Linked DNA regions of Drosophila melanogaster. The protein of the gene in region 1 interacts with the protein of each later gene in a pairwise test. Each region holds a gene or a part of one and is shown on either strand. Other genes may lie near its edges.

Evidence for each region.
Region 2: the proteins of PIG-S (region 1) and Cog1 interact in a two-hybrid assay, tested with the Drosophila melanogaster proteins (one large-scale study listed by BioGRID).

What each region holds. Positions count from the first base shown.
Region 1 is NT_033777.3:24,909,365-24,925,518, reverse strand, and holds PIG-S (phosphatidylinositol glycan anchor biosynthesis class S), read left to right. Parts: upstream 1-7,654; 5' UTR 7,655-7,755; coding exon 7,756-7,810; intron 7,811-8,009; coding exon of another isoform or gene 8,010-9,565; exon of another isoform or gene 9,566-9,679; intron 9,680-9,783; coding exon 9,784-9,874; intron 9,875-9,932; coding exon 9,933-10,072; intron 10,073-10,128; coding exon 10,129-10,326; intron 10,327-10,387; exon of another isoform or gene 10,388-10,459; intron 10,460-10,613; exon of another isoform or gene 10,614-10,685; intron 10,686-10,818; coding exon 10,819-11,013; intron 11,014-11,074; coding exon 11,075-11,692; intron 11,693-11,833; exon of another isoform or gene 11,834-11,937; coding exon 11,938-12,251; 3' UTR 12,252-12,303; downstream 12,304-16,154. Other genes in the region: Mink (mitotic spindle and nuclear protein), read right to left, coding at 506-1,101, 1,163-1,243, 1,296-2,867, 2,932-2,947; CG11168 (uncharacterized protein), read right to left, coding at 3,333-3,434, 3,490-3,621, 3,681-3,917, 3,979-4,787, 4,886-5,202, 5,472-5,595, 5,936-6,702, 6,764-6,867; sud1 (sudestada1), read left to right, coding at 7,756-7,810, 8,010-9,565.
Region 2 is NT_033777.3:12,207,976-12,225,120, reverse strand, and holds Cog1 (component of oligomeric golgi complex 1), read left to right. Parts: upstream 1-5,434; 5' UTR 5,435-5,516; coding exon 5,517-5,650; intron 5,651-5,706; coding exon 5,707-6,389; intron 6,390-6,457; coding exon 6,458-7,515; intron 7,516-7,574; coding exon 7,575-8,240; intron 8,241-8,434; coding exon of another isoform or gene 8,435-8,458; exon of another isoform or gene 8,459-8,488; intron 8,489-9,167; coding exon 9,168-9,287; 3' UTR 9,288-9,538; coding exon of another isoform or gene 9,539-9,694; 3' UTR 9,695-10,241; coding exon of another isoform or gene 10,242-10,310; 3' UTR 10,311-11,329; downstream 11,330-17,145. Other genes in the region: CG17404 (uncharacterized protein), read left to right, coding at 116-185, 249-844, 897-1,058; Rsbp15 (radial spoke binding protein 15), read right to left, coding at 1,159-1,680, 1,768-1,848, 1,909-2,387, 2,455-2,638; CG4860 (uncharacterized protein), read left to right, coding at 3,671-3,704, 3,766-4,005, 4,136-5,109; CG14742 (uncharacterized protein), read right to left, coding at 9,539-9,694, 10,242-10,310; CG4830 (uncharacterized protein), read left to right, coding at 14,816-14,956, 15,028-15,235, 15,348-15,534, 15,604-15,720, 15,810-16,761. UniProt on the Drosophila melanogaster protein: Required for normal Golgi function.

The DNA.
Region 1 (16,154 bases):
TATAAGTGTGACGGAGATAGAAAGAAGAATACGGACGAGAAACGAAGGAATCTGTAAAACGCGAATAGTGCCGTTATCCGAACTGGAATGCCAACTGATTCCTTTTGGTGTAAAAGAACGTAGTAGTCAAAGTTTTCTCAATTTGAATAAAAGATAAGTCAAATTTAAAAAAAAATAACACAAGAACTGGCGAGTGATGTGTAATAGGTTTAAGTCCTATGAACTTATGGCTACCAAAAAGTCCGGAATGTATCGGAAACAAAAAACAAAGCCTGCTGCGTTGACGGATTCTATGCGGCCAGTGTTGGGCATCGCTCTTACTTAAAGTTTGAATAAAAAGAGTGGGAAAGTGCAAAATACAGAAATGGTAAACAACTTTATTGGAACCAGCAAAATTTAAATGTTTTCTGACGAATCGCCGACAAATCTGACATGTTAAAGCGAATATACATATATGAGTAAGCATAGGTAGTAAGCAGTAAAATTAACGAATCAAGTTAAGAAACTAATCCTCCTCCAGGTGTCGACGGTGCTGCATTTGGAGTTCAAAACGTCGGTTGAGGCGCACTCCGCGGATAAACTCTCCTTTCTCCTTCTGGTCCTTGGTTGTTCTACCCTTGAACATGTCAATGCGCCGCTGGCGTCGCTCAGCCAGCTTGTTGTCGTGCGAATCGGCCGGTCTGCTGGAAAACGTGGCGTTGAATGTCTTCACCGTGGAGGTGGACAAATTGAAAGCTGGCTTTGGAGCTACATTAGAAGCGGGAGCGGTGGCCTTCAAAGGCAAACGTGATGAGTTCAGCTTATCGGACGGATGATCCATTACCACGGTCCGATCGGCGGACATGTCGATCTTCTTCATTGCCCTTGGACGAGCACGATCCTCCACAGACGTGGTGCTCTGCATTTTCTTCGCCGCCGATCCTGGCACTTGCTTCTGTACAGAATTGGTTAGCACCTTGGCGCGTTCCGCCTTCCGTTCGACGTGGTCCACCAGACTCTCCATCTTGGCAAACTGTCTCTCATGCATGGCAGCAAAATTGGGCATCTTGGTGCGCTTATTCACCTTGCTGGGTGTGATGGTTTTGTTTAGCGGTATAACACCTAAGAAGAAAAAAAAACGTATATTAGCACGAACAGAACTGCTTTAGTTTTCTATACATACCTCTATTGGGCTTGGGGATCCTGCTCATCTTGCAGCGTTTTTCGTCCAATGACTTTGAGCGCCTACGCCGGTTATTGACATCTGGAATTGTACGTTTAGAAGGGGCTAAAAATAACCATTAAACAGAACTTACTGGTCTTTTGAAGTCCTGCCCAGCGCTTATCAATGTCTTCGACATTGGCAACCTCAATAGGACTCTGAAAGGATACAGTTCGTGACATGATATCTTTCCAATTGCTGGCTGACTTGGAACGTTTGCGTGTGTAATGCGGTTCATCTTCTTTAACTTCGTGATCATGATGAACTGCCTCCTCTGTTCCTGTAAAGTTAAACATAGGCCTTGCCTTATAGGGCGTAGGGAATCGATAGCCCTTCGATTTCTTCGACTTTGATACATTTGGCGAAGCTTCAGCGGGTAAATCTAAAAGGGTTTGGTCCTGATCATCTGATGTGGTGAGCACAACTTTAATAACCGGCTTCTCCTCCGGAATTTCCGGCTTCGGAGCGCAAACAACAGGCTGCATATCGGTAATGCCGACCAGAATAACACTTGCATCGAGGTCGGAGGAGCTAGCCTTTGGCTGCTTGTCGGGACTAACAACCAGAATAACACTTCCATCAAAATCTTTCTTGTCTTCTGCATCGTATGTGGTATTGAGAGGCGACTGATTTGGTTCATCCAGGCCATCACTTTCCATCAGTAGTGAGGGCATTTCTTCCTCTGCTTGCTCATCTACTGCACTAGCTTCTTTTAGTTTATCTTCAGCTGTTACTTCTTTGTCTTTATCAAGCGCAGCTGGTTTAGTTGCTTCATCTGCTTGCTCATCTTTCTCTTCATGTTTCTGACCATCCGTATCGGCTGCACTCGTTTGGGCTTCATCTTCAAATACCTCTGCGTTTGTTTTTGCTTCTCCACCTTGAATATCCTTCTCATCTTCTTCCTGGCTGTCCATATCCAGTGGGCATAAACCTAGTTCATCAGCTACATTTTGCTCCTTGGTGTCTGGATTTTTAGACGCCCTAGAAGACTTCTTTATCGATATTGGTTGCTCCAGATTCACTACAATGTCCGTAATATCATTTGCGTGATCTGGATCTTTAGTTTTAGACTTTTTAGAAGACTTCTTCGTGGATAGTGCCACTTCCTCTACTATGTCTGCTTGAACCTCTGCATTTCCTTCAGCATCCTGAGAAGGATCCACCTTTTTCTGTGGGACCTCCAACTCCGTGTCCTGCTCCTCATCATCCTCTGCAACTATGTGCTCTGTTTTCTGCTTCTTGGCGACCATGCGCTTGGACTTGCGACCCCGTTTGCGCGAATTTTTTCCCACCTCCGCGGTGGTCCACTTCTGGACGGAAGGCTCCTCGCCCTCGGGATCGGCTGAAAGTGCTTCGACGATAGCCTTCTTGGCGGATCGCACTATAATGTCATCGTAATCGATCGCTGGACGCACACTTTTCCGGCAACTACGTCTCGGAGTTTCGGTGTTTTGGCTAAGATGGCCTGGAGTGCCCGGTGTCTTCGGAGGATCGGGATGCGTGGGCGAATTCTTTTCCGAAGTGGCATTCATCCGCTTGAGGACCGCTCGTCGCGTTTTCCTGGCCACTGGAGTCTTAACAGCGTCTGTATTTTCCATCCTCCGATTGGCGTCCTCATTTTCCTGATCGTTCGGCGCCAAGACGCCGACATCGTTTGGGCGATTATCTTCAGTAATGAGGTGAAAACAATGTAGGTACTAGCAAGCATATGACGTTCACTAACTATTTACCAATATTAAGTTCCATTTTTAGCTGGATCTTTAGTTTATGTTTAAAAATAAAATGCCAATGATATTCAATCTGTACGTTTTTTTTGAAGCTGATCTCGTAGTGTTACCAGGCGCTGCTATTTATTTCCCACTAACTGGTATCGATAAACGAAAAATTCGATAAAATATCCCGCTTTACCCCTAAATTCAAAATTTTGCTTTTAAAAGCAATGTTGTAAATTTATTAAAAAACTCTCAAAATACTTAACATGTGAGCTGCCTTATGTGGAGCAAAGCCAGCATCGAGATGGCATCAACGACTAGCAAATGAGTAAAAAAAATAACTTTACGTGTGAAATGCAATGAAATAAATAATAAAAAACCACGCTCGGTGGCAATTGTGGCACTTCCATGGCTTAGAATTAGCACTCTTCGTTGAGGGACGTGCCCTGTCTGCTCAGAGCTAGCTGGTAGGCAACTTCGAAGGCCTGTCCCAGCGTCATGATGATTTCCTTGGCCAGTTCCTGAGAATTAATAATTCGTTAGCATGTTGAGATTCACCAGTCCATAAGTACGAACCAAGCTATCCACCATAAAGACGTGACAGTAGTGCAGGTCCTGTTCTTTGGTTATGTACGCAAAGTAGCGCAAGTCCTCCGAGTCCTGGCAAACACAATTTATGTTCTCAATGTCATGGCAACAGATGGCAGTCTAAAAGCAAGTTGACAAATATACATACAATATATATCAAGGAATTGAAATATGCTCACCTTTTTATCGTGGTCTATGAACTTGACGCCAACGCAGGATACAGCAATGTCCACATTGAGTCGTGTCTGATGGTTGGCTGCCTTCAAATACTTTGTGGAGGTTGTGCAGTTTTCCAGCAAGCTGAAATCACTAACGCTCGCCGCCGACTTTAAGTTCTCATCAATCTTCAGTTTCTGGATAGATTTTCGAGTGGAAAGGGTTCCTTGCAGTTTTCGAATGACCGTTGAGCCAAGATACTGCAAAACATTTATAGGTTTGAAGTATTTAATTTAAATACTTATGGCAAATCATACTCACAAACAGAGAGTATCGAATTTCGCCATAGATAAATGTGTATGGCGAGTGGCACCAATTGGAGGAGGCTGCGCTCGGTTTTCTGCCCAATAGCAATTCCGCGGGATCTCGTATGTGTAGGGACTGCCGAGAATCTTCTAAGGACAAGCTTGAAGGATCTTCTACAAACTCCTCGACTTCCTGCTCTACTGTGGACACTTCGTTGCCAATGTTCTCAAAAATGGTATCGATTTCAGCCCACACTCGGGACGCGCTGAAGTCTTCGCCCAGCGCTGAGTATCGCTGCTTTGACAGGCTGCGTCTGTGGTTTTGGACGTGGGCCGACCTCACCATGCTGGGTGATTGCAGAAACTCCCTATCTCCCGGCACAGCACCAATGCCATCCACCACATCCGAGGACAAGTTCAAAGTGGATCCTTTGAATAGTCCAGCAAAGGGTATGTCGGCAACGTATTCCTCCACCTGGTCAGAGCTCACTGAGTTAGTGGTTCGAGGGGATTCCGCCGGTTCCAGCAAACTGTTTTTGCGCAAAGTAGCCGGCTGCATGAAGTTGAAGATCGTGCGTTCCGCTTCGGTCACTGTGGGTGGTGGATAATCCGGCGTGGGCGAATGGCGAACCAATCGCAATTTCGTGCCATTACCATTGCTATTATTGTTATTATCAACAGCTGCCACGCAGCTGCCTTCTTCTATTGGCACCACATTCGCATAGTCGTTGTATTCGCCGTTTATTCGAGTGCGTGGTTTAGGAACTGGCGGCGTTGGCAGCTTCATCTCCACGTACGTAGCCACCGCTTGTTGACGCACCGCAGCTGTAAATGGACACAAAACCAGATGTTTATTTGCCTGACTCATTGGATATTCAGGTCTAGTGACTTTCGAGTGAAATAGTTAAAGGTACATTACGTACAGTTGCTACTGGTGCTGGCGGAGTTATCATCGCTGTGGGACCCGTTCCTTAGTAGATTTATGTACTCATACGATCTGGAGGGTACGGATCCATTGGAGATGTCGCTGTCCATCCGAAAGCTGGGCAGCATGGGTTGCTTGTACACCGGCTTATAGCTGGTCAACAGATTGCTGCCATTCGTCCGAAAGTCGCTCATGTTGTCGCAGGACTTCTGGTGAATGATGGGTTTCATTTGCAGGTAATTCTCCGGCGGCTTGGCAAAAATGTCCAGTGAGCTTAAAGAGTGCGAAAGTCCGTTGGCTTGATGATCTTGCTTTCTACATGGTGAGGGGTGAGTATGTGGTTATTGAAAAGAAACCAAACGAAACCAGACCAGTTAATTGAAGAGACGCACAACCGATTCTGAAGCTGATTCTGATTCTGATGAGTGCTAGGGCTAGTGGGCGTGGACATGAGAGTGGGTGCGAGTGCGAGCGGGGATGAGTGCGTTTTCCGAATGACATGAGCTGCGGGCTAAGTTAATTAGGGTCAGCAGTGATGTGGGTGTGTGTTTCAGTGTCACTGTGCATGGAGTTGCTGGGCTTACTTCCTCTGCCTGGGCGGCACCTTCTGTCGTTGCGAGTTCTTCTCGTACAGCCGCTTCGGCAGCGATTGTGTGCCGTTCTCTACGACAAGTGGCTTCTGATGTTCCCTCGCCGCTTGGGTGAACTCTGCAAAAGATCGTGGGCGTTAGTGGTTTGGAGGCACTATTAAAGATTCAAATAATAAAGCCTGTTGAAATCGTTATCAATTATTTACTGTCTGCGCTTACTCACATAACTTCAAGAATATATTTACAGCTTTATATTAGCAATAAAATAATTTCGATCTTATTTGGTTGCCTTCAATAAATAGGGTGTAACATTTATTACAAATAGAGTAAATAAATGTTTTGAATTACAAAGCTTTATGAAGAGCTGTATTAACTTTAGATATCAGTAAAGATAAGCATTTCCAGCCACTACCCATAGCCCCTTTATTGTATTTCTTCTACTTCTTACTCGTACGCACCGTTTATGGCGCCCACAATGTCGTAGGTCACATGCGGCGGATAATCGGAGAGTATGTCCAGGGCTGTGCGTCCGTTTCCATCGGTGGCGTGTACGTAGATACCGGCCTTAAGCAGAGTGACCACAACGGACTTTTTGCCACAGAGAGCCGCCTCGTGGAGAGCGCTTCCAGCGTTGGTGAGTATGTTGACATCGACGCCGGCCGCCAGCAGTGTTTCCACCACCTTCTTGTGCCCATTCCTGCTGGCCAGGTGCAGGCAGGTGTGCGTGAATATGTGCTTTATGGGCATGCAGCCCAGCAGCTCTTCATTGTCATCTTCCAAACGCTTATACGGCAATATGAGGTCGGGATAAACACGGAGCAAGGTCTGAACCACCTGAAGGCGTCCGAATTGCGCTGCCAAATCCAGAGCCGTTTGAAAGCTATTGTTGCGTATGGCAGGATCGGCGCCATAGGACAGCAAAATGGCCACCACGGCATTGTGGCCATGTTGGGCGCCTGAGTGCAGCGGCGTCTCGTTTTCGATAGTCTGGGCATTCGGATTGGCTCCCGTAGGCGAGTGCATCAACAGCATCTTGACGATGTCCTGGTGCCCAGCCCAGGCAGCCAGAAATAAAGGTGTCGAGCCACGTATATCAGGCACATCCAACAGCGCGTTGTGGGAGAGTAGTAGCCGTACAATGTTGCTATGCCCATTTAGACAGGCGTGATGCAGCGAAGTGTAGCCATTCATGTCCTGGCAGTTGATGCTGGGACTTCGCCTAAAACTGTAAAGGAAAACCTGTAGTAAACTACCTGGAATAACAACAGTTGCTGCTGGTGACTCACCTGGACAGCGGGCCATGTCGTTTGCTCGAGTGCTCCAGCAGTTTGTCCACCGTCTTGATGTCGCCGGCTCGCGAAGCCTCCAGCAAATGCTGATCCTTGCCCATTGCTCCTCCGTATCCTCCAACACTAGGTAGCTACACAGGAGCAGAAGAACACATGTCAAGTTGTTTAGTTTAGCTTTTGCTCCGATTCCAACACAATGAGATCATCGCGAGCATACAGAATACCACAGCCCCAGCCCCACTCACACCCCCAACAAATCAGGTGGCAGCCAGGCGGAATCAGCTGTTTGGCCCTAGCACGCACAGACTGATAGCCAAATATTTTTTTTATACAAAATAGCTGTGAACATTCCACAATAGTATTTTTGTTTATAATATGGAGGGCTGAATGGTGGCTCCGCCTCTTCCAAGGTCATTCCACGGCATTGGACTGCTCCAATTGGAATTTCTTTGTCACCAGCTAGGTTTTATCTTCAAGTTTTAATTTACCGGCTATGTCCACGTCCGTTTCGAAAGTTTACAGCCATAAACGAATAACTATATTTGCCACCGCGATAAGCAATCAACAAAGCTGTGATCTAAACTTTATTTACGTGGAGCCGATCGAGCAATTGTTCGTTACTAATTGGCTAGGGATGGAGGCGTGAGGCGACGACGAAACACACGACACTCACGTACAATCAGTGATGATCAGTATAAAATGAAAGTGTGATTAGTGAGTTGAATGCTAATGCTGAATGCCTTCAATATATTATTATATTATATATTATTACTTATATACGCCCTTTATTGTTTACAATATAATGCCAAAAGTTTTTAGCTACTAAACTTTAGCTAGGTATTTGATACTGCGTGGAATAAGCTAACTACCCAACACTTGCACAGAACAACCGATATTTCCGAGCTACCATCTCTAGCTGCACAAGCCAATTTTTTTATTTTCCCTGGCAAAAATTCACGTTTTTAACCGAAAATTTGACTCACAGCATCATGGAAACCTCGAGCTCCAGTCCAGTAAAGCCCAGGAGAAAAGACAAGGACGAAGGTAAGTGGAAACAGTGAGAAATCTGCCCCAAAACGATAAAGCGAGGTGTGCCGGCACATCGGTGCCTTTGATTTTGCCTTTGCCTTTGATAACGCGTGTGTGAGTGCTGGTGTGCGTAAAAAATAGCCAAATTAAAGTTTAAGGTATGCCCCTGTTTGCCTCGCTTAATGCAAACCCATTCACTATGTTGCCCTTGCAGATGGTCGTGCAGAGCAGGAGGATTCCGCAGATCAGGTGGGCGAGCCGCACAGGAAGCTTTTGCGCCTGGGCGACATCCTTGAAACGAACGAAGTGCTCCTGAACGAGGCGTATCAGCAACCGGAACTTACCAAGTGGCTCCAAACAGCCTGGACGGAGGAGAAGAGCCAAGGGACCAAGGAGACGCAAACCGGTGCTCAGGTCTTCTCGGATCCCTTTCAAATCTGCCTTCTGCCCGGCATGCTGGAGAAGGGCCAAAGCCAGGCGCTGGTCGCCGAGATCATCCAGAAGGTGCAGTGGTCGCGCAAACAGATGGATTTGTATGAGTTCTACCAGAGCGCCGACCTCTCCAACATGCCCGCTTGCCGACTGTTGACCAACTTCCTGCAGGTGCTGCGCAAACAAGTGCGTCCCTGGCTGGAGAAGGTTACCAACCTCAAGCTGGACTATGTGTCCGCCTCCTGCAGCATGTACACCTGCGGCGACTATCTGCTCGTGCACGACGATCTGCTTAAGGACCGACAAGTGGCCTTCATTTACTATCTATCGCCTTGGGAAGGAGCGGAGGAATGGACGGATGAGCAGGGCGGATGCCTAGAGATCTTCGGTAGCGACGATCAGTGCTTTCCACAGTTTCCAGTGCAGCGAAAGATCGCCCCCAAAGACAACCAGTTTGCCTTCTTCAAGGTGGGCTCGCGCTCCTTCCACCAAGTAGGCGAGGTTACTACATTCGACTACCCGCGTCTTACCATAAACGGATGGTTCCACGGCGATACCAATGAGGCCTTCGTGGCCGACTCCCTGCGCGCCTTTCCCCGCCTGAATTACCTGCAACCTGATGGCCTTAATAGGCCACCGCTTGGCCTGTTTCTAAACAACGTGTATCTAAAGGGGGCCACCCGCCGGAGCATCCAAAAGCGGATCGAAGAAAACTCCGAGATTTGTTTATACGAGTTCTTCAAGCGAGAGAAATTCGAATTGGCCCGGTCGCAGCTGTTGGCCGATTCGGATACCTTGAAGTGGCGAAGACAGGGACCCGCAAACGCACACAACTATGAAGTGCTGGATTTGACAACAGCCAGAGGCACCATACTGGAACTACTGCAACTGTTCCGTAGCCACGCCATGTTTGATTTGCTGCGAGATTTCACCGATCTGGATTTGGCAGGCACCGATGCCGAAAGTCCAACATGCAGCGTGGAACTGCAGCGCTGGTCCCACGGCAACTACACAGTGCTGGGCGACGGTTTGACCAGCGAGGAGAACACTTTGGACCTGGTTTACTACCTGAACGCGGCAGAAGGAGCAGCGGTGATCACATACCTCGCACCCGACGCCGAAATGCCAACAGCAAAAGCACCGACGGACGGAAGGCGATCGGACTACGATGACGAGGAAGAGGACGATTCCGTTCTGCTTACTATCACGCCGGTGGACAACGCCCTGAACATAGTATACCGGTGCGAGGGCACCACCAAGTTCACCAAATACGTGTCGCGCAACACGCCCCTTGAAAAGGGACCTGTTTTTGTTATTTCGTGCAGCTACAAGGAGTAGCATGTGATCCTGTTTCACAACATGCGCACAATTACTCGTCAAGGACTATTAACATTCATACCGTTCTCCTGTACAGAAACTAATTTACATAATAAACTTTATAAAACACAAATCAAAATATTATAGTTTTTTGTCGAAGTAATAAAGTGTGAACCCAAAGAACGCTTACGACCGCGATAAATCAGGAACTAATCAAACACTTCTCTTTAACTTTACAGATAAGTTCCGGATCGGGGCTACACTAGCATTTATCGTGGTCATCATTGGAATTGGCGTGCCCATGTGGTGGCGCACCACCACAGTCTACAGGTGAGTCAACCATGTCTGGCGGCGTTTTTCCAATTATACCTAAATGTTGCAATCGCAGAGTCAATTTGCCCTCGACGGAAATTTTGAGTCTGAGTAAAATTCCGATCAAAACGGCTGTGCAGGTGGCCATCTACACACAACAGACCAGTCGTGGCCAGTTGCTCATCGCCGAACTGCAGAACGCCTTCAGCGACAATGGTAGGTGCAAATTCATTATCCATTCATATTTCTAAACGGCATGCATTTCCCATTAGAAATATGGTCTGTGGAATTCAAGCAGCTATCTCCTACGCCAATGACCCAGGAAGCACACACGCCAGCTGCTCTGGAGAAGCTGTTGCTGGAGAACCATGTCCAGAGCGTTGGCGACTTCATGTTCATCGAGTGGCCCAAACTGCAGGAGGAGCTGCTACTAACCACCGAAAGATCGGCACTGATGCGAAGTGATACACGTGAGTCTATTGCAATGATACGGAAACACTTGTTGGCTTTTTATGTCCGAAGTTTTTAAGGTCCTCGATAGTATAGTGGTTAGTATCCCCGCCTGTCACGCGGGAGACCGGGGTTCAATTCCCCGTCTGGGAGAAATGAGATTTTCATTTTTTTTTTTTTTTCAAATCTTTTATTGTCTGTTACTTCACCTTCTATTATTGAAATAATTCTAAAAGTAGAAGTATAGCGCATAATTTATTATTTACATGATAATGCGGTTTTAAAAAGAAATATATATTTTATCGGTCTCCCCGACGGGGAATTGAACCCCGGTCTCCCGCGTGACAGGCGGGGATACTAACCACTATACTATCGAGGATTACGAATGCTTTCGAATACTTTTAATGCCCAATGAAACCCTTTCCTTAAAATTTCAAGGACTAAGCTAAAATTACTCTAGTAAATTAAAGATTAGTTAGCTAAACTAATAATGCTGTTTTAACACCTCCTAGCTTCCAACAAAATCGCCCAGCTCCTGCACGCCAAGATCCTGCAGACGTATCGCATAAATCAAATTTTAAGTACCGATGAGCGGATGGGCGCCAAGTCGGAAGCTCCGCAACCAGCCTACGATGTGATTGTCTCTGTCCTGAATCCGAAACCGAGACTCACCCATGCCAAGTGGAACATAGCAATGGCTGTGAAGAGTAAGTATTGAAAAACCACAAAAAGTCTTCACTTACTTATGCCAATTTACATTTTCAATAGCTTACATTGAGCCCTGGTTGGCTAAGGTGTCCGGTGTTTCCAATTACACGGTGCGATCGCAGTGGAAGTACCGGGTGGCCATCGAGGCTGATCTCAAGCAGGTGCGCGACCAGAGCAAATTGGGGCGACACTACGCCCTCCAGGAAACCGCTCTGCCTCATCTGCTGACATCGATTGCCCAGAATCTAAGCGCCAGCACCACCGACAAGCCGGCCATCAACCTGGTGGTGTACATTCCACCGTGCCACATCGCTCCGCTTCACATCTACAACAGCAAGGATCAGCGGCTGACGCGGAACGACGTGGATGCCTTCATTTCGCCACCCTGGGGTGGCTTCATCATTGCTAATCCGCCAGAGCATGTGTGCCTTGCGGCCATGAGCGATCAGGAGGCAGTTCCCTACCATGTCAGCACCACGGACAACATGCAGGTGATGCTGGACCAGCTGCACAAGCTGCTCGACATCAGCAGTGAGCTTCAGATGGAGGGCGTTAAGGTGGTGGATATCGAGCAACTGGAGCCACGTCGCTGGGAGTATGAAGCATACCTAAGACGCAGTGCCATTCGACACATATCCACAGCAAGCAGCACGCTCCAGAGCCTCATCAAACTGTTGGGTACGTTTTTAAAGATACCAATGAAGGATGTTTAGTCAACATTTTTATTATTCCTATTTCTGATATTATACAAAACTCAGGGCTCTTCGACAATTAAAAATGAACTATTTGCAATTTCCGCTTTATAATTAAGTAGCTTTTAAAATGGTTGACGCTATTTTTATTGAATCTGTACTGCTTGAGAAGTTTAATAACCACCTTAATTGGACAATATTATTTAATAATCGCTTCCTCCTCTCGTTTAGATCAAATCAGCTACATTGTGATAGACGACGAGGTGGGTGCCGCCATTACAAATTCCTATGCCGACATCTTGGCTGCCAAGGCTGCTCTTTTGGAGCACCGACTGGCGGACGCTTCGGTGCTGGCCAAGCGTGCGTTCGTGGCCTCGGAGCGCGGATTCTTTGACGCCAGCCTGCTGGCGCAGTTGTACTTCCCGGACGAGCAGAAGTACGCCATCTACATTCCACTCTTCTTGCCCATCATGGTGCCTGTACTGAGTTCCTTCAACATGCTGCGTGGTGTGCTGCAGGCCAGACGGAAGGAGAAGCAGTCGTAAACGAACCATAACCAAATAGTATCATCCCTCATTAAAACAATATTTTCTTTATAAGCTGTTACTGGTGCGATTTATTGGTTCACTTCGGTTTTACGTAGAACATGTCATCGTCAGGGCCTCGCGGTCGATTAGATTTGCCAGTTCTATAGTATTCCAGCATATTCAAACTGTAGACTGCCGCGCATAACAAGTAGGTAGAAATTATTCGTGCCAACATTTTGGTCTATGAGATCTTAAAGAAACCTGGTGGAAATGGATTTAAAACTCAAAAATTTTGATCTGTCATAGAGAGTTGAATGCTTTGAAAACAAGTCCACGTGCCACTAATCTTTCCCAAAGTTTTCAACGTTGGGAGTGCTGTATTTTGATGCCTTGGCTGCTGGCGGACCAGCACGGTCCGCTCAGCGTGTGAACGGCGCGTATAGGTCAGGTTCAGCGGCGAGATCGCTGCCGGATGAATGTCAGACGTGGCAGGAGGCCAGCCAGACACGCAGTCGGTGGGTGAGTCATATATTGCCAATAAGTCTTGTTTCCGACTGATTTCAAAATATCACTTACCGATTATAATTACTTGCTTAAAGGAATGCTTATTCTATTAGCTCATCATTTTCATTAGTTAGTGATCAATAGGTAGAATTTAATGGTTTTTCTGTTTACCTCCTTAAATTTATTGTTAATTTGAAAGTATGTAGAGTTGGAATTTTTTTTAACAGTTTCTCACAAATATTTGGAATTTGTGGGTATTCTTGAATGTGAGGTATATCTTTTTAAACTAGACAAAGCCATCGCAATTGCATGCCATTGCAAATGCGCAGATGAAGGCAAACGAAAAAGCTACAAAAATGCGGCTGTCAAAACTCGTTAAACATGGAATTCAATTGGCAATGGGCCCCCAAAAAGCAGATGGAGGGGCTGAGGGCGGAAGACCCTAAAAAAAAGGGGGCGGGGCCGGGGTCGGCGTCAAACTTTGCGCATTAAAAGTAAACAGTTAATTTTTAATTGCTCACGGCTCGTTGGCTCTCGACAAAAGAGATCTCTCGGCATACCAACATATTCGACAAGTATTTGTCTTCCCAAAGGTTAAATATTATTTTAATGAGCCGCGCAGAGCGACAGGGACTTCAGAAGAGACAGAAACCTTTTCTCCACGCGGCCCCAAGACCGCAAAAAGGTCAACAATGTGACTTTTAGCGATCGCCAAATGCCGCCAACCAGCCAGCCAGCCAGCCAAGTGGCTTTGTGTCATGGTTTTTGTGCCATGGCGTCGGCGGCATATGGTGGATCTACCCAAATCGGAGTCTTCGCTGATTCGGGATGACGCCTATTTGCAGCCTATTGGTAATTGCTGGCCGCAAGGGCCATCTGCATTTCCGGGCCACCGAATTGCTCCGGCGATCGTGTATCGTCTTTTCCCACACGCACTTAGTCACGGCAAACCGCACGCACGTAAGAAATCAATTGAAACGGACTCGATTTTCGAGTTGAGTTGAAGATTTGGAGTTGGCCAGCCGAAGGCTAACACAATAACGAAACTAATTTTGATGCGGTTGTTAAGTGTTGCCAAACACCCAGGCAGCTTAAAGTGGAAAATGGGCAGAGGAGATTTGTCCGATATAAAGATGTTGCAGACAATGGATGGACTCCGGCACTCTGGCACTCGGGTACAACAAGGCGTATAATTAATAATTGATTGAGCCGCGTTTTCCACAAACAATGAATGACAAGGGAGGCAAGCAGGCAGCTGCAGTTGCAGTTGCAGTTGAAGAATTTCTTGGCCCGAAAATGGCACAAAGTACTGGGTTCGGAGGAGCAGTGGTGGCAAGATTTGGAGGCACACCAGGTGTGCCTGTGTGCCCATAAGTTGCCTATATGGCTGGCGAACGTAAAAGCCACATTGCCAAACGTTTACGGCCGCAATTGTAATCACTGTTTGACCAAAAGTGCACTGCTCGTTGTCGCTGATGCACTTTTTATAGCTCTGGTGCATTCCCACCGCTAAGTGAAATTAATAAAAATCGCCTGCACCAAAAACGTCAATGCGTCTGCGCAATGTACATAATTTGTTTAATTAATTACGCCAACACATTTTCATTGCTGGTTTATTGGGCAATTCTCGTTTGGCTGATGAGCGGTGATGTGATTTTTCACATAAAATGGCAAAAAAAAAGACAAATGGAGACTCGCACTGAAACTATAACAGCCATTGAAAGCCGAACGGATTTGGCAGCTTTCGAAAGATTCAGACATCGTCAAAGTGGAAGTGGATGCTGCACAGATGTTGCTGCTGCACTGATGCTGCTGCTGCTGCTGCTGCTGCCGCTGCTGCATCAGCAACATTCTCAGCTTGCCCCAAGGCCACTGGCATTCTGTCTGCATACGCTGACTCAAGATCTGGTATTGAGGATCTGCGGCGTTTTGTGAGTGGCAAGTTATGGTTGCAACTGATTCTGACCAGAAATGCTATGCGATCAAAGTTCAATACTCCACTGGAGAGGAATAATGAATAATTTACAGCAGACCAGTCAGGCATTGCCAAACATGCAAGTGATTGTGGAACAATTAACCAATTTGTTTCGGCTCAATAAAGTGGAAGCGAACGTTAAGCTAATATATAAAAAGTTATACCCGGCTACAGCATCAAAACTATCATCATCATCATCATCACAATCTGATGCGAGTGGCAGCCATGGGAAAGAGTTTCCAAGCTGGAAAAGTGTCGATGCCGACAAACCCCAAGGACGCTGGCTTATAAAACAAATAAAGCGAAATGTATTATACTCGTACAAAATATTACTTACCCTTACCGCAGTTTGACATAAATGCCAATTTAAATGCTGCAAAACGCATAAATCAACAACGAGCGTCTAGCTCTTTCGTACACTGAAAGAATCTGCTATCTGCTTGAAGGGCTGCTTTTTCTAAAGTTTGAAGTTACTACTTTTAAAAAATATATAAATTACATGTATCGTAAAATATCTTTATCAGTTGTAGTTTGGTTCAAATGGAACGTAATGTAGTTGCATGAGCTCAAAGTTTTTTCTCGAGTGTACTTGCTGTTGTGTCGCTAAAAGTTGCTGCTGTTGCGGGCTGATGTTGCTTTTGTGCCTTGGCGTTGTTGTCGTGTTTTTGGCAAACAAACGATCAACAAGTGGCGCTCCTCAAAAACGTTTTTGTGCAAAAATATTTGCTGGCAAAACGAAGAAGACCCATCGATGGGCAGAGTTTTTGGAAAAATGTAATGTTGCTGCTGCGGCTGCATGGTGACAAAAGCCGCCGTCTAATTGAATTAACATAAAATAAAAGTTGTCTTGGCAAAGCGCAAGCTCAACATCCTGGTCAGTAAGCTAGCCATAGCATTGGCCATTTGGCATTTGGCTCAGAATCTCTGGCCAGAATAATCACGAACAATGAAGACTGAACGGCGGAAAGCTCATTAACATGATTACAATGAAGATTCGACTGCATAATAATTCACACATATTCCGGCATTACGAAAAGTGCATTTGTATGGGCATGCAATTAGTCACAGAGACCGCAGCATCTGCAAGTTGGAGATCCGAATTCTTTACCGCCCGCCGACGCCACCGCTCGTCCCATTCATTCCCATAATTTAGCAAATATTTTTTTATTTTTTATTATTTATTTTCCCATTTTGCCTCTATGTACACGGCATAGCAACTGCATTGGTTATAACATTTTCTCACGTTTCGTCGTGCAGATTTCGGCACAAGTTGCGCCTTGGTGTGGCCGATCCAATGCCTGGGATGGCATAGTATGAGATCTCGGTTGGCAGTTGCAGTGTGGTGGCTCCACAGTTCCATGCCTCCATGCCTCCATGGCACTATGGTACCATGGTGATAATGATGATGGTGGCGAGGTCGCTGGATCGGCGGAGGCGGGCGA
Region 2 (17,145 bases), about 13 Mb from region 1:
GCCAAGGTGACCCAGATATTTTGCGATACATATGCAAATTCTTTCGCCAATGTGGGCTAAGCTCTTATTTAAGAAGTGTGGCAGGTGCAAAGCCAGTGGCATTAGCCAAACAACGATGGGTCTAACTGAACAACTACTGCTGATCGGAGTTGTAGCTTTGGGAGGAGTCTTCGGGAGACTGAATTGTGAGTTTGAATTGGAATCAGTAACTCAGAATCCCCTGGTAACAGACGTGTATATTGTTAAAGCTCGTCAACCCAGTGGGTATACTCCACATCGTATTGTTGGAGGCGCTGACATCCCACCAGGCGAACATGTGCCCTACCAGGTTTCGCTGCAGTACAGAACACGCGGTGGTCAGATGCACTTCTGCGGTGGATCCATCATCGCTCCCAATCGCATCCTTACTGCAGCTCACTGTTGTCAGGGTCTCAACGCCAGTCGCATGTCTGTTGTGGCCGGAATTCGAGGACTGAACGAGAAGGGTTCCCGCTCCCAGGTGCTATCCTACAGCATCCATCCCAAGTATCAGGAACTGGTTACCAGCGATCTTGCCGTGCTGTCCATCAAACCTCCGCTGAAGTTAAATAACTCGACCATTAGTGCAATTGAGTATCGATCGCAGGGGAAAGACTTCGTTGGTGGAGGAGTTCCAGTAACCTTGACGGGATGGGGCCTCCGCTTACCAGTGCCCTTTCCCTTCTTGGATAATGTGAACTATCCCAATGTTCTTCAGCGCATGAGTTACCACACCATCTCGAACAGTGAGTGCAGGAATGCGGGCATGGAGAGCGTTACGGATACGGAGATCTGCGCCAGAGGACCTTTTAGGGGAGCCTGTTCGGTGAGTTGGATGATAATACACTAGCTAGATCATAGATTGATCTTGTTTCCAGGGCGACTCTGGCGGTCCTTTGGTAATGGAATCCAAAAATGGATTACAGCAAGTGGGCATAGTATCCTACGGGCTGGTGGTGTGTGGTCTATACATCTCTCCGGATGTCTACACCAGAGTGTCTACCTTCAGTGACTGGATAGGAAATCAAACAAAATCCTGAAGGAGAAGAGGATTCCAGCACTTTTCGATCAGTTTATTCACTTGCAGATAACATCAATTTAACAACTAAGGGAAAATTAATAAACACAGCATGGTTTCATCTACTCAGCTGCGGGAGCTTCTTCTGCGGGAGCTTCTTCAGCGGGAGGAGCTGCTCCCTCTGTCGGAGCGGGCTCCTCAGCGGGCGGTGGCGGTGCCGCTGCTTCTTCTGGTGGTGGTGGAGGTGCCGGCTCTTCGGCGGCTTCCGGTGCAGCCTCTTCTGCTGGCGGTGGGGCAGCCTCCTCAGCCGGAGCTGGTGCTGCTTCATCAGCAGGCGCCTCTGCTGCAGGAGCTTCCTCCGCTGGCTGAGCTTCCGCAGCCTCTTCATGAGCTTCTGGCTCTGCTATAGCAGTGGCCGAAGTTCTGGCCGTGGCCGGAGCAGTGCCTGGGGCAGATGGCGGCACAGTTCCGGGAGCAGTTGGTAATGGTGTTGGTCCGGCTGTTATCGCAGCAGTTGTCGGTACTGTCGAGAGATTTACGTCGTCATAGCCATCCTTTGCTGTATCCGGTGAAGAGCTAGCATCCACTTCAGTTGGTTCCGTTGGTTCGGCACAGGGGTCTACGATTGGCTTGGTAACCACGCGCTGCAAATTTGGCGTAAAAAATTAAGAAAAACAGTTTAAAATATAAATATATATAATGTAAAATAGTTTTTAACTCTTGTTACATACCAACATAACCTTGCGGAAGAATCTCTGAAGAACGCTCGCTGCCTGTTCCCTGCGCTTTTCCTCCCCGTCGTCCTCTTTTTCCTGTTGGATTTAAGTCATAACCAAGTTTAGGGGCAGACTTTTAGAAGTAGATTCACTTACCGCTGCGCAGACACAAACGCAAACTTCTTGCGGGAACTGGAGGCGAACCCAGTATCCTCGCCAAGCCGCCTGGATCGTGATGGCTGCCTGGTTGCGCATGGCCTCGTTGATACGCTTCAGTTCCCTGTCCCGGAAGTACTGGTAGAGTAGCTCCGTTCCATCGGCTCCACGTTCGGCGGACATATAGGCGTCCACGAAGCGCTTGTAGGCACTCTCGATGGCCGGCCGTGACATGACCAGCTCCTCGTCGGTAAACTTGCACTTCTGCAGCAGCTCCTCTAGGATGTCCACATCCTCGAACTTAATCGCCTGCTTGCCACGCCGCATCTCGCAGCGTCGTTTCTCGAGGAAGTTACGGAAACAGTCCTCTAGAACCTGGCCCATCAACTCGGACTTCTCCTTGGAGAGATCACAGACACAGAGGTCCGATATTATGCTGTCCACCTGGCGCAGAGAGCGATCCAAAATGGTCTTGGCCACTGTAAGAAAATACAGGCGTGCGTAAAGAAAAGTTTGATACTTTCTACATCCTGTGGGAGTACTTACCCATAGCCTTTTCCCTTGTCACGATCACCGAATGTAGATAGTCGATGATGAACTGGCAGAGGCACTCTTTCTTCGGCTGACACCTTAGCACCTCCCGTGTAACATCTGATAGAAGTTCCGGCAGACCCTCTGGAACATTAATCGCCTGCTGGCGCATCTTGCCACGCTGGATCAAGTAATTCATCTTCGTTTTTCAAAAGTATAAAGCAAAATTCTATAATTTTGAACAGTTTAGCTGAGAAGAAGATAATAATTCGGAAATGGTTCAGTTTTGAAATCCCTTTTAACCGGTCTACTACGTTAAGAGCAAATGAAAATAATAATTTACAGCGCTCTACAATGATTTTTACACGGACTGACTGCGAAATACCTTGCTGATGTAAGGTGCTCAGTTCTGTTTACTTAACCTAGATGGCGCTAGCAAAAAGCTGGTTTAAATGTTTAAATGGTGAAAAACAATAATGGGTTATATATTCTCAATTTGATCCATGAGCTTAAATGTTTCAAAAAACTGTCTCACACGTGTTCCTGAAAATTCCCAAAGTCCACTAACTTTGTAATATGTAAGTTGAAAAATTGTAATGTGTACTTGTGTTTCATGTGGGTAAAATGCACCTTGTACCTTTCAATGAAAGTGGGTGTGTATCGGAAATTAGCATTGCCTAATTTCGTATTCAGCCGGTATAGGAAATCAACAGGGTTCTTGGTGGATTCTTCTTTATCGAAATCCATTGAACCGCTTTCCCTTTCTGTTCTTTCAAATGATCTTTAACCCAGAAACTTGGTAATTTCACAAAGTTAGCGCCAAAACAAAATACTTTCGATCATTTTAGGTAGTACTATATAGTTGAAACACTTTATACGAACACAGTGGCGCAGTGGTGACTTCGGCGCTTATCAATACCATTTTTAAATGAAACTTTAAAATTTGTTAAAAACCGATTATAAATTACAAATTTGAAACAACTAAAATGATTTTAGTAATTCTTATACTCAATTAAAATCAATTTAAAAGAACCATTTTACAAAATCGATTAGTAGTTTTTAATAAACGGGACCCCCTTTCAATCTCCTCCCATGAACTTCGCCTCAAAAAGCTGCGTATAAAAGCTGTTTTCCTCGGTTGTATTTCGATCGGCTCGTCGACGAGTGCGAAAAAGCTTTCACTACCTCGATCGCAACCGGCACCACGGGCTTGGGATCAGTTGGCGACGGAATGCAGCAGCTGATCAGAGTGGCGCGGACGTTGGGTGAGGAACTGGGTGATTCCCGGCTGACTGGATGATCGATTTGCCGCCTCCGTCTTTGCAGGTCAACGCTCGAGCGGCGCATGGAGTGCGAGGATAATCGCTGGTGGAAACCGGGGAATCGCATGCCTGGCCGCCCTCTCCGAGACCCACCAGATTCTCCAGAAGACTTGCCGGGAGTTCGCCAATGCGGAACTGGCCCCCAAAGCGCGACACCACGACCGGGAGGAGCTTTATCCGGCGGAACAGGTCCGACGGTTGGGAGAACTCGGTCTCATGTCAGTGACGGTTCGAGAGGAGTATGGTGAGTTCCTATTTCAATTATAATATTTACAATATTTACATAACATAAAATATGTGATGTTTTCATTTTTGAAATGGTATATAAATAGATCATACTACTAGATTCCATTCATTAAATATTGATTTTTCAGGTGGTTCCGGATTGGATTACCAGGCCTACGCGATTGGCATGGAGGAGGTGGCTCGTGGTGACGCCGCCGTGTCCATTGTGATGGGCGTGAATAACCTGTACCTGGGTGCAGTGCAGCAGCATGGAACCGAGCAGCAGAAGCAGGATTTCCTGGTGCCGTACACCCAGGGTGAGCACATCGCCTTCTATGCACTATCGGAACCTGGAAACGGATCGGATGCAGGAGCTGCCAGCACCACGGCCAAGCTGCAAGGGGACAGCTACCAAATAAACGGCACTAAAGCGTGGATATCAAACTCCAAGGAGGCCAGCGGGGGTATCGTCTTTGCCACGGTGGACAAGAGCATGAAACACAAGGGAATCACTGCCTTTCTTACGCCCAAGGATGTTCCAGGACTCTCCATAGCCAAGAAGGAAAGCAAAATGGGCATGCGCGCGACTTCGACTTGCCAGCTGGTGCTGGAGGACGTTCACGTGCCGCGATCCCGGGTCCTTGGAGCTGCCGGTGATGGCTTCAAGATCGCCATGCAGTCCTTGGACTGTGGCAGGATCGGTATAGCCGCCCAGGCCACCGGTATCGCACAAGCTGCCCTGGAACTAGCCGTGGATTATTCGCAGAAGAGGGTGGCCTTCGGAAAGCATCTGGCACGGTTGCAGCTCATCCAGCAGAAGCTGGCCGACATGGCCACGCGGGTGGAGATCTCAAGGCTGCTAACGTGGCGTGCCGCTTGGCTGAAGGATAATGGGCTGCCAATCACAAAGGAGGCGGCCATGGCCAAGCTGCATGCCTCCGAGTCCGCCACCTTTTGTGCCCACCAGTGCATCCAGATCCTGGGTGGGATGGGGTACACCACCGATCTGCCTGCGGAGCTTTACTACCGCAACGCCCGCGTCACAGAGATTTACGAGGGAACCTCGGAGATCCAAAGAATTGTGATCGCCAACGCAGTGCTGCGGGAATTGGGAAAGGAGTGAAAGCCATTGTTGGTTTTTCTTTATTACTGCTGCCAAACCAATCAGAATTCTTGCTTTTACACTTGTTGTGTATGTAAATTAGTTTATCTATGCCAGACAAATGCATTTAATAAAGTATATTTAAACAAATGAAACCTGGATTTAGAAAAATATCTTTTTTCGATTAAATGAGGTAATTCCCCTAACTATAACTCTTTATGTTATATTGAAATGTAACGGCTTGCACATGACAGCATATCTAACATTTTTACCAACAGAGAAATGTAAACTAACATAAATTTAACAGTCATAGACAGTCATGAGAGAAAATATCGATGTTGCCAGTCATCGATACATAATTCGATTTTATTACAGCTGCTCCCTTGTTATTGTTTTCTTAATTTAAATAAAACTAATTTGACGGCTAAATGACGGCCAATTTGTTAAACCTGAACGTGGACACGCTGTTTGAGCAGCACAGCGTGTCCGAGATAGACGAGGTGCACAAAAAGATCCAGTCGGTGGTGGAGAACAAGCGCGAGGAGTTGCGCACTCATGTCGGGTGAGTGATGTGGCACCTTCAGAAGATTTGCTGCTTAAACATTCTAAATCTTTAAGGGAGCGGTACCGAGATCTTTTGCAGGCGGCTGACACCATTGCTGCGATGCAAACGTCGGCCGGGACACTTATGGAGCAAGTGCGACACGTGCAGGCCAATTGCCGCAGTCTAAACGAGCAGCAGCTCCTGGGCTTCCAGTCAACTGCCAATGCAAGTGCTAAAGATGCCGCACTGAAGGAGAGGAACGCCGGAAAAAAGCTGCAGACCTACTACGGCACCATGGCTCAGATTAAGTTGCTTACTGCCCTGCCGGAACTAATCTGGACGCACTTGGACAACGATCGCTTCTATGCCGCTACTGAGTTGTTCATCTTCAGTCGCCACATCAGCACGGGCTTGCAACTGGACGGCCAGAGTGCCCTGATGCAGAAACTACCGGTAGCGCGCAAGCAATGGGAAATCCTGCGTCCCTTTCACGTGACCATCAAACAAGCCATACTGACCGCACTGGAGAGGGAGGAACTCCTACAAGAAATGACTGTGGACTGCCTGCAGAGCCTTCTCTTGCTAGACAAAAGCGATTTGAGTACTGTGCTGAAATCCTTCTTGAACCTGCGCTCCTCAGCCTTTCTGAACTGCCTGCAAAGCGGTCCATCGGAGCCACGTCGCGTCAAGGATCGCATTTTGGCTAGCTTAAACGTGCTCAACAGCACCGTGGAGCTTCTGGACAAGTGTCTTTTGGGTATGTTTCCATTCGCAGATAGGCACACAACATTATTATTGGAACAATCGGTCTTTTCTCTCGTACAGGTTATAGCCTTCTTTTTAGCCGCTTGGAGGAGTGTGCCTCTTCTACGTGTCCACCCAGCATCAACCGAATGGAGAGTAGCGAGCGCCAGCTGGTTCATCTTTTACCCGAAATCATCGCTGGTTTTAAGCCACAATTTGATGTACCTCAGCTAACACCTGAGCAGTTGGGTTCTTCACTTCAACAATGGCTAGATAAAATGAACGCCTTGGCAGCGGCTCACTTGCAGCAAGTCTTTGCACTAGTCACCAACATGCAGACCATCCAGGACATTAAGTCCGCGGCCAGAACTAATGGTCGACCGGATTTCGTTCGCCTAGAACAGCAATTGCATCTTAAGCGTAGCCAGTTAGACTTCTACGCCAGAAAGTACGTGCCGTTGATCAACGCCAGAGTACGAGAGATAATTCGCAGCAGCTGGGCTTCCGCCATGAAGCTGACCTACGAACAGGTACTATTGCTTATTGAAGCCGGTCAGTCGCAACCGCCTCTACAAATTTGGCGGGAGCAGAGCGATGATTTGCCTTTAAGCTTGGCGGCAGCACTCAGCGATCAACCAAAGCGACTGGCAAATCGGACGAAGGGCTATGACGGCGCAACAATAGAACTGTGTAAACGTTTTGACTCACATCTGGCGGATATCGTACAGGAGCTGAATGTGATGTTACAAGAACAAACGACGAGGGCTGAGGACAAGGTTTCACTTATCGAGTTTCTGCGCGAAACGGCCGAGGAACAGCTGACAGAGTATTTATCCAATTTGAAAGGTTTAGAGCTAAGGGAACGCCCTGCTCTGCTCCTGGCTTTGAGGAATAGTCTCGCCTTGGTCGAGCTGTGCCCCAATTTAAAGTTGTGCTTCTGCCAGCCGTCCAGTTGGCGGCAGTGGACTGACAACTCGGCGGGATTGGGAATTGAGCATTGGCAGCGCATTTGTGGCCTGATCGAAAAGGAGATGCTATCCTTTTGGCTGGTCATCGTTGACGATGTGTTGGCCGGCCACAATTGCGAAGAGAAACTGCCAAAGGTCATTAATCATGAAGTGGTTCTCAGCGACTTTGCGGTAATTATATGGAAAGAAGAAATTTATTTGTAACGTAACATAATTATATTCTTGAGTAGCTTTGGCAGACCTTGACACTGGAACAGCGCGACGAGGACCAGGAGCAGAGTGTTCAGTCAACCATTCGAATCCCCAGTCAGCCGCGACTCTCTCTGCAGACGTATCTTCATCAGCTAATTCAGGCATTGAATTCGGTTGTTCCCCAAACTCTGCCACCCAAGGTATTGCAAGCATTCATTCAGCGGCTCATAGGGAAACTGCTCTGCCACTACGAGGGATTGGCCCACGCGGAATGCACCAAAGCCAGTCAGAATATTGCCCTGCAACTATACTTTGATCTTAAGTTCCTGGAGCGCGTGTTCGCCATTTCACGTGAGGAGAGGACTCTCTACGACCAAATCCACGCCCAGCAGAACCAACTGCGCGACTACATAGATCCCTTTGACTTCGAGCTGTTTGCCGAGCATATAACCGCTCATGTGTCCCGAGCTGCAAGCCGTCTGCAGGGTGAACTGGGAGTGCTTACTCCCTCGGCAGCTGCTCCCAGTCAGGGTGCAGCTGCTGCCAGTTCTTTGGCCCATGAAGCAGATCCCAATGTGCTGTGTCTCAGTTCTTCCGGATCCACGTCGCTGTGGTTCCCGCTGCTGCCCATTGTGATGCCCCAAGCTGCCGGAAGAGTTACTAGCGCAGAGCGGAAATCTCCGATCCAAGAGCCAGTTGAGAAAGTGAGTATAAAGTGTGATGATATAGAGGGCTGTCGGTGTTGGCTTCAAGAGTATAAGCTTTACTATTTGGTGGTGTATTTAAAATTCTAAATTGATTAGCTGAAGCATTAAACCGACAGCCCTAATAGATATAAAGTTTATCTTTTACCAACTTTATCAAGTTATAATGCTACGTTCCCATGTTTCTTTCCTAGGATTTCTATCGACTGCATTCCTAAGTCAATAGTTTCAACATTTGCTCTGGTTGGGTAGGAATGTTATTTGATTGTTGATACTTTGTTATCATTCCTCGTTTGCATGCTGCATGATATTGATTGTTTAGCCAATACTTATTAAGAGTGAGCAAAATAGCCGCATTGCTCTTATTAAGTGCTTCATTTCCAAATTTGAAAACCTCTTCAAGCTGAAGCAGCAGTTTAATTAAACTAATTTGGTCCATCCAGCAATAAATAAACCAGAATGCCGCAAGACAAATTTTAATTAGGTGCAACTTTCTGCCGCCATTTCCCAACCACTCCTCCCTACTTCGTCCGCAAGTGGTTGGCAAAAGTTTCGCTTGAAACCCAACCCGAAATTTCCAAGTGGATGGCCAGAACATCGGCAGAATGATTATGTATATATTACGGGCGCGTATACGAGTGCCTTAGATGGTAATTAATGAATCGCTGCAATTATTGAAATCAAATCGCTGGGCAAATGTTAATTTATGGCAGTGGCTACTTGGCCGTTACTCGCATGTTTTGTAATTAGCTGCGATCTCCGCCGGTATAAATCGTTCTCTAATTATGTTTGCTTTCCATTTGTTGCTGTTCGCTGCTCGCTATAAATCTGAGAGTCCAGCGGCAAATTAACAGATTAATCAGACAAACTACCAATTAATAGTACTAATTAATTAATAACATCTCCCATTTTATCCCTCTATCTCAGACGGCGACAACGACGCCGACGAGGAAGTCGGGTGGCAATGGAGCCCGCAAGGGAGACAGCAGCAAATCCAAATCGAGCGCAGCTTCCTTCTTTGGGATGTCCCAGGAGTGGTTTCGCTAGAGGATTCAAATCAAGTGGCCTGTGAAGTGCATTCGAGCGGAATGCGGATGGGATGCTCTTCTATTGTTAAGCTTAACCTACATAAATATATCCGAACGTACTTGTAGTAGAAGAGGCGGGCAGCGCCCAGTAAATTGTAAGAAAGTCACATACATTATAGAGATACTCGTATATACACCCTGATATCACTTTTAATTTCAACTTAACTCTAAATTTGTAATTTTTAATGCGCTTTGATGTTGCCACGGTTGCTATTTCTTGCCTCCCTTCTTGCCACCGCCTGCGGCTGCCTTTTGGTCTTGTCCTTTCTTGGCTCCACCTTTGTCACCGCCGCCTCCATCGCCGCCTTTGTTTTTATTTCCGGAGCCACCTCCGCCGCCGCCTCCGCCACCACCGCCGCCCTTTTTCTGTGGGCAAAGAAACACGGAAAGATTTCGCTTTGAGCTGGGACCGAGCAAATAACGAGCCACGGTTGTTTAAGGTTGCCCAGCGAAGTCAGTAAATGAGAAAAAGGTTAGTTGTGCCAGGATTGCAATGGGGGGACCCTTGTTCCAAAGCACCAGGAGTTCTCTAATTACATACAGCAGCAGCTATTATCCGCATGATAAAATGTAATCTAACCATTATTTGTGGTCTACAATAACGTATTAATACAGGTAGCACGAAACACCTTCCTAAAAAACTGTATGCAAGGCTTAATCTCAAAGTTAATAGTTCTAGTGCACTAAAGTTTTTTTTTTTAATTTGGCAATGCTTTTATAAATTTATGTTTAGAAAGTTGGTCAACGAATTATTTTAAAATTGTTGGAAAGTAGGGATAAAGTTAAATATTGTTAAATTGCTACTTGGAAGTTTGGTGGGACCATGAGCTGAATGAGCTGGCACTAAGATGAGGATTACAAGTAGTTAGACTCACAATTAGAACGCAAGTTGCATAACACAAATATTGCTTACATTGCCCCCGCCTCCACCACCGCCACCTCCTCCTCCACCGCCGCCGCCACCACCCTTATTTTTGCCCATTCTATCAACTTCTTGGGAAGGCAATTATTTTATTTATTTGGTTTAGTTTGCGGTGCTTGCTGTTGGCTTTGGCTAGAGTAAACTTATGCCAGAGCTGGCAAATTGCAACTAATAAGCATCGCCATTGCCGCACAGCGAAATACATGAAATTAAATCATTTGGCCAGAAAAAGAAGGCCAAAATGAACGTTGAGAGCAAAACACAAAATGCGCAACAGCCAAAGGCGGAAGGGAAAGGCGCCAATGAATTTGGGCGGCAATGGGAGAGGGGAATGGGTTGATTGCGATGACCAGGGGGATTTGGCTCCGGGTAGAGGAGACCTGGCTGCAATGGCCAATGGCTCTTAACTGATTTAATCACCGCCCGGGCACCTCTCTTTGCGGCCGGAAGAAATGGGAAGTGTTTCTCTTGCGGCGACCGTTGGATTATTTTGTAGTGCTTCTCCTCCATCGCTTTTTGGCTCTTTGCTTCCGATTGCGATTTCGATTCTGTTTCTGTTTCGGTTTCGCATTTGCATTTGGCCATATGCGCCCATGGCCATGGCATTGACATTGGCCACCTCTCGCATTTCTGGTCTGCGGCCAATGGAAGGCAATACGTCGGTAATCCCACGGCTCACTCGCGAATCCCACGGATACGGACAGTGCAACAAGATGCTATTTATAGATGCAACGCGAATTGATGGTGGTGATAGCCTAGGCCAAGAGAGATTTTGGCGGATTTCAATCGGAAAGAAATGGCCCAGAAGGCGATTGAAAGCGCTAATGTATGCAGAAAGGGAAGAACAGGAAGATTGAATGAGGGAGATAAACCAAGGAACGGTAGAATTGATTATGGGTCTAGGGAAGTAATTTAATTGGAGACTATGGGCAACCTAAAAAAAAGTTAATCAGCACAGATATGCCATTTAATCTCCATCGCACTTTCTTATGTATAATATCTGATTTTTATTATTTGCATAGACTTGTTTAAAGTTGTAATATAAGTATATTGAACATATTTAATAAAGCTTACCGAATAAACTATGCATATGAATAACTTATCCGACTGTTCCTATGGCCGGTATATACATATATCATATATCTGGTTTTGATTATATAATAATCATATATTTATAATTATCTTTCAATAGACCAAAATGTAAGCATTACATTACAAATTTGGTTACTTTTATCATTGATAAATCATTTTATTAAATTAAATAGCATTTGTGTTTATCAAATTACATTGGATAACTTTAAAACGAAAAACTTACCATGCTGATTTAACTTTACTGCTTTAATTACTACGCCAGTTCAGCAGGCGGATTCCTAATTGGACTGGAATACATTTAACAGCTTTCCACCTGCCTGAGTTCCAAAGAAAACTATCCGAGTCTGATTTTCTTCATATGCTAATTACAGTTATCAAAAAGTTTTTCTGTCGCTGCCAACGGACACTGGAAACTCAATGCATACATAATGAGACATTCTACTTTTCCTGCAGCTTTTCCTTCGGCTCTCCCACTTTTCCCCCCACAACAGATGTTGGAAAATGGAGAGCGAGCAAGAGAATAAGTCGGAACACCCGTTGGTGTCAGCTAATTAAATTAGATGTTCTATATGGTGAGCCGTAAGTGAAACCGATATCATGCAATGAAAATGAAAGCACCACGACAAGGAGAACTCAACAAGTCGAAATCTGCACATGGCAACTAGCGCGGAGCCAAATTAGAAGTGAAAAGTATGAAATAAGCTCATAAAATTACGCTCACACATGCTCGGGAAAACGCATTTGCAGCAAAGGAGCTGGAAAAGGGGGAGGGAGACCCGTATCCGCAGGCGAGGCTAACAAAGTCGCAGGTCCGGACATTTGCTGCAGGTGCGGCAGGCGAAACTTGCACCTGAAAGATAAACCACCTTACCTGGCGAGCTGGACAGACACTTTGAATTTAAACGAAATGGGCGGACTTTCTGGGAATGGCTAAATACATACGGAAAAGCGAGAGAGACAGTCGGGATAAGTAAGGAATTGGCTCTGTAGAAGTGCGGAACTTTAATTAAGTTTTGGTTCTCCCAGCTGACTGACATCTTGAATTACAAATGAAAAACTTGTGTGCGGCAGCCGAAGGGAAAGTGGCCAAAGGAAACGGGTCAAAAGAAGCGACACAAAAAAGATTTAAAAAAAGTGGTATAAATAAAAATAAGAGAGAATGCTATAGTCGACTTCCCCAACTATCAGATACCCGTTACTCAGCTAGTGAAAATGCGATCGCGAAATTTCATAATTTTTCTGGGAATATTAGTGTATAAAATTAGAAAAAATTTAAAAATTGTTTAAAAGTGTGGACGTGGCAGCTTTGGGCGGTTTGTGGGCGTAAGAGTGAGTGACGGACATAGTCAGATCTACTGGACTACTGATCCTGATCAATAATATATGTACTTTATATATACTTCTGCCTGTTACATACTTTGCAACGAATATAGTATATCCTTTTTCTCTACGTTACTCGTATACCAGTAACGGGTATAAACATGAAATGAAAGAAAAGTGAGTGAAAAACCAGGAAAAACCAGTGCATAATAACACACTGAACTGCAAGAGGTGGAGCTGCAGGAGCAAAAAGCAGTTCCTGCAACAGAATGCGAATAAGTTGCACAGCCAGCAACTCACGAAAAGAAAATAAAGAAAAGCCGAACCACTGGGCGGGAAACCCAAACAACTACCTTAGTCTGTTAGCCAGTTAGCCGCTATAAGAATACCCAACTAACTGGGACCGCGAACATCTTTCAACTGGCTGGCCCTTAAAGTACGCGGATCCCGAAATCGAACAAGAGCAGCAGCGACAAAAGTATGTAGTTCCATTCATGGACAGCCAGAGGAAATTCTTCCGGCAGAAGGGTGTATACGGATACGGAATACCCTAAGATAAGCCCGTTCCGATTATCAAATTCGATTTCCTCCGTTTCACGTAATTTGCGGCCGGGATGATAGTTTCTGCTCGGAAAAATTAATTCCCCACTTCAGTTCATAGCCCGATAAGATTACCACAAATCAAAGCCAACCAGAGTGCAATGTCTGTGATGTCGGGTACATAAACCACCAGAGGAACCTTATCAAAATCCCATTAAGCCATTACAACTAAGCCCACACTGCGAGCGTCGTGGACTTAGTTCCAGGCACAACACTATCGTAAACATACTTATACTCGAATGAAATGGAAAGCTATATAGTTGTTGAAAATCAGCTTTAATGATCCGATGCGAAGGAATTGTTACTAAGCGTTGGGAAGTTATAAATTTTTTATCATTTAAATAAAATTAAGTGCTTAATAAAATGTAAAATGAGGAGTACCCAGGATTATTTTATTTACCAAGGTAAAACCCTTAGAGCAACCATAAGTCTCCTGTAACCGGAACTTTATCTGCGAACGAACTTCATCATCGGCAGCCTTGCCACAGAATTGGGTTTTAGTTCACGTGCCACCGGGAACGGAAAGTTGATTTTCTCTGCCGGCTGCCATTGCTGGAAAATCAGGAAACAGATGTTTGCAAATATCTTGCAAGCGAACTTTTTCGCCAAGGTATTTAAATAACGTTTTCGCTGCACCAACTTTTTGTCAGCCGCAGCGCGGAAAAACGTCAAAATAAAGGACAAAAATGTAAGAAAAACCATTGAGAGCTGGCTGAAAGAAAACCCATTCAATTTCACTGAATGGATTGTATTTCATTTGGCGGAATTTCCCGAATTATCGTGGCTTCGTTGAATAGGGTATCATGTTGTATTCATATCAAAAGGCCGGCTAAATATATCTCGAAGTAATCCGAAGGTAAACATATTAAGAGCTCGTGTCCATATCGATAATCCATTGGTGACTAATTAAAATGTGGGAAAAAAATCAAACTTTCCATTCAGTCTCCGGTATCACGCATTTAAAAGTCGTAAGGTATTCCCAGATTAAAGTCCAAAGGTTATTAACCAAATTTCAGTTGCCCCAAAAAAAAAAAAAAACTACGGGGATTTTTAGCATTGATTTCCATTAATATTTATATCTACATAAAGCAGAGACTGAAGGGCTTGTGTTTAAAAATAAATAGCATCTAATGACAATGATTTGTTTTCTGTCGTATCATTACGTAAGTATCGCCGATAAGGGGGAAAACACAACCCGGAACGAAGATAAAACCCTCTGGCAATTAGGGATGGGGCTGTTCTCATTGACCGGCAAGTGGCCAAAAGTTAATAGCTCTTATCACGACTAAGGACACCCTTCAATTAAAGAACCCAACGCACGCCATCTGATTAGTTTCAATAAATATATGCATACATGCCAGTCGGGTGGTCAACTTTGGTCAATGCCTTTTATCTTTCATTGATACCTACCTTGCACTTAACCTAGGCCATGCTTATCATCTGCAGATAAGCTCTTGGGGATTCGTGTCTTTATAAGTAGCCCCTCCGAGCGAATAGCTCCACAGATAGTGGTCGATCTTTCGGGTGTGCATTCAACCTTTATTGCAGTAAAAATGTCCAAGTTACCTTGCAGCTACGATGCGGAGAACAAGATCTGGAAGGGTATTCCGCAAAACAACCCCTTCAAGCCGGAGACCTCCCTGGGTCGCATCATCTTCAAGAACATGAGGAACTGGCCCAAGAATGTGTGTCAGGTGAGTGAAGTGGAGTCCGACCTGCTCTGATCACTTTCCTGATGTTCTGTGTCATCCCTATGTATCATCAGATTTCCGACTCCGAGGGCGTGGAGGTCACCTTCGGACAGGCTCTCACTTGGGCTATTCGCATTGCCCAGCAACTGAAGAGTCGCGGTCTCGACCACAAGGATATCATTGGTATCTCTGCCAGGAACACCACCTACATTATGCCCACAGCCGTGGCCTGTTTCTTCCATGGCACTCCCTTCCAGTCGGCCAATCCAATTCTCGAGGAATGTACGTAAAATCCCCTACAACGTTATTGTCTTTTTGTCATAATATAAAAAAAATAATGTTATCAAGGTACATCCTTTAATAAAATATTTTATATGTTCTTCTACATTTTCAGCTACTCTTAAGCACCTGTACAACATTTCCAAGCCGAAGATTATCTTCACCGATGCCGATCACTACGACAAACTGTACTCGGCTACCAGCGCGTTCAAGCCAGAGATTATCCTAACCACCGGAACTAAGGATGGTGTCCTTAGCATTCAGGATCTGTTGGCTCCAACAAAGACAGAGTTCTTCTATCAGTGAGTGTGCCATATTGCAAAGCTCCAAAGGGACCAGGTGTTATCTAAATTGTAAACCATCTATGTTAGGCCCACACCGCTGAAGGAAGGACCTTCGCAAACCGTTGCGATCCTCACCTCATCCGGAACTACTGGAATGCCCAAGGCTGTGTGCATCTCGAACGATATTCTGACCCAAGAGACAGTGTAAGTTAAAGTATATTTGAACCTCAATTTATTGTAGATATAATCAAATGAATTTTAAAATTACATAATTTTTCGAACTCATTTTACAGCTTTGTAAATGGTTACGATACCATCTTCATTTCGGCCAGTTTGGACTGGATTACTGGGCTGTGGGCCACCATCTTCAGCACGGTTAACGGTTGCACCAGGATCATCAGCAGTAAGCCCTTCGCCGCGGACTACTTTGTGTACTTAGTGAGCAAGTACAGCATCACATATGCACTGATTCCGCCGGAGCACTGCTGTTCCTTGCTGGATTGCCCCACAGCCACTCCGGAGAAGTTGGGCAGCCTGACGAAGCTGAATTTCGGAGGCGGACGGATGACTCAGGCCACGGTTGAGAGGGTCAAGAAGCTTGCTCCTAATGGAGTGCTGAACTCGTCCTACGGCATGACTGAGGTTGGATTCATAGTGTTCAACCACGGACACTTGAAACTCACCGCTGCGGGCAACCCATTGCCCGGAATTCAGGTGAAGATCGTGGACGACGATGGCAACCAACTGGGTGTGAACCAGACCGGCGAGATCATTGTGCACAATGGATTTAGCTGGAACGGATACTTTGCCGATCCGGAGGCCACCAAGGCGATGCAGGACGAGGAGGGCTGGTTCCACACGGGCGACATGGGCTACTTCGACGAGGACGACTACCTCTACATGACGGACCGCAAAAAGGAGGTGCTCAAGTGGAAGGGTCTGCAGATGTGGCCTGCCGAGGTGGAGGCGGTCATCGACGAGCTGCCGGAGGTGAAGCGGGTGTGCGTGATCGGGGTGTACGACGAGACCCAGGGAGATGTGCCTGGTGCCCTGGTTGTGCGGGAGGATAATGCCACTCTGACCGCACAGCAGGTGATTGACCACGTGGCCAAGCGACTGCCCGACATCCAGAAGCAGCTGCGAGCTGGTGTCCAGTTCGCCGATGAGATTCCCCAGAACCACAATGGCAAGGTCGTCCGCCGATACGCCCGCGATCTCTTCGTCGCCTTGTCCAAGAAGAACTGAAAACCGAGAACTGCCGTGCTTTCGTTTGGAATAATTTATCCTTGATTAAGTTTATTAAGTTAGGCAATCCTGCTTTTCGATTTCTTTCGTCTGAATTTGCCCGTCAAACACTTCTGAAAAGTCGCCCACAACGTTCAATTCTCAGAATAATGTCTCTGTGCATATTTTTAATAAACAAAATGCTGAAGTATATTCAGGACGAACATTTTCCACACGCTTTTAGGTACATTTTTTAGGTACTTGTAACATGTAATCTAATTCCTCAAAGTGGCTTTTATTTGATAAGCTGCCTTCATTACTTTTGCTCAAATCCACCTACTATATCCTGGGTCAAGGAAACATCACAAATCTCTGTGAAATACCCACAGCCCCAATAACATTTCA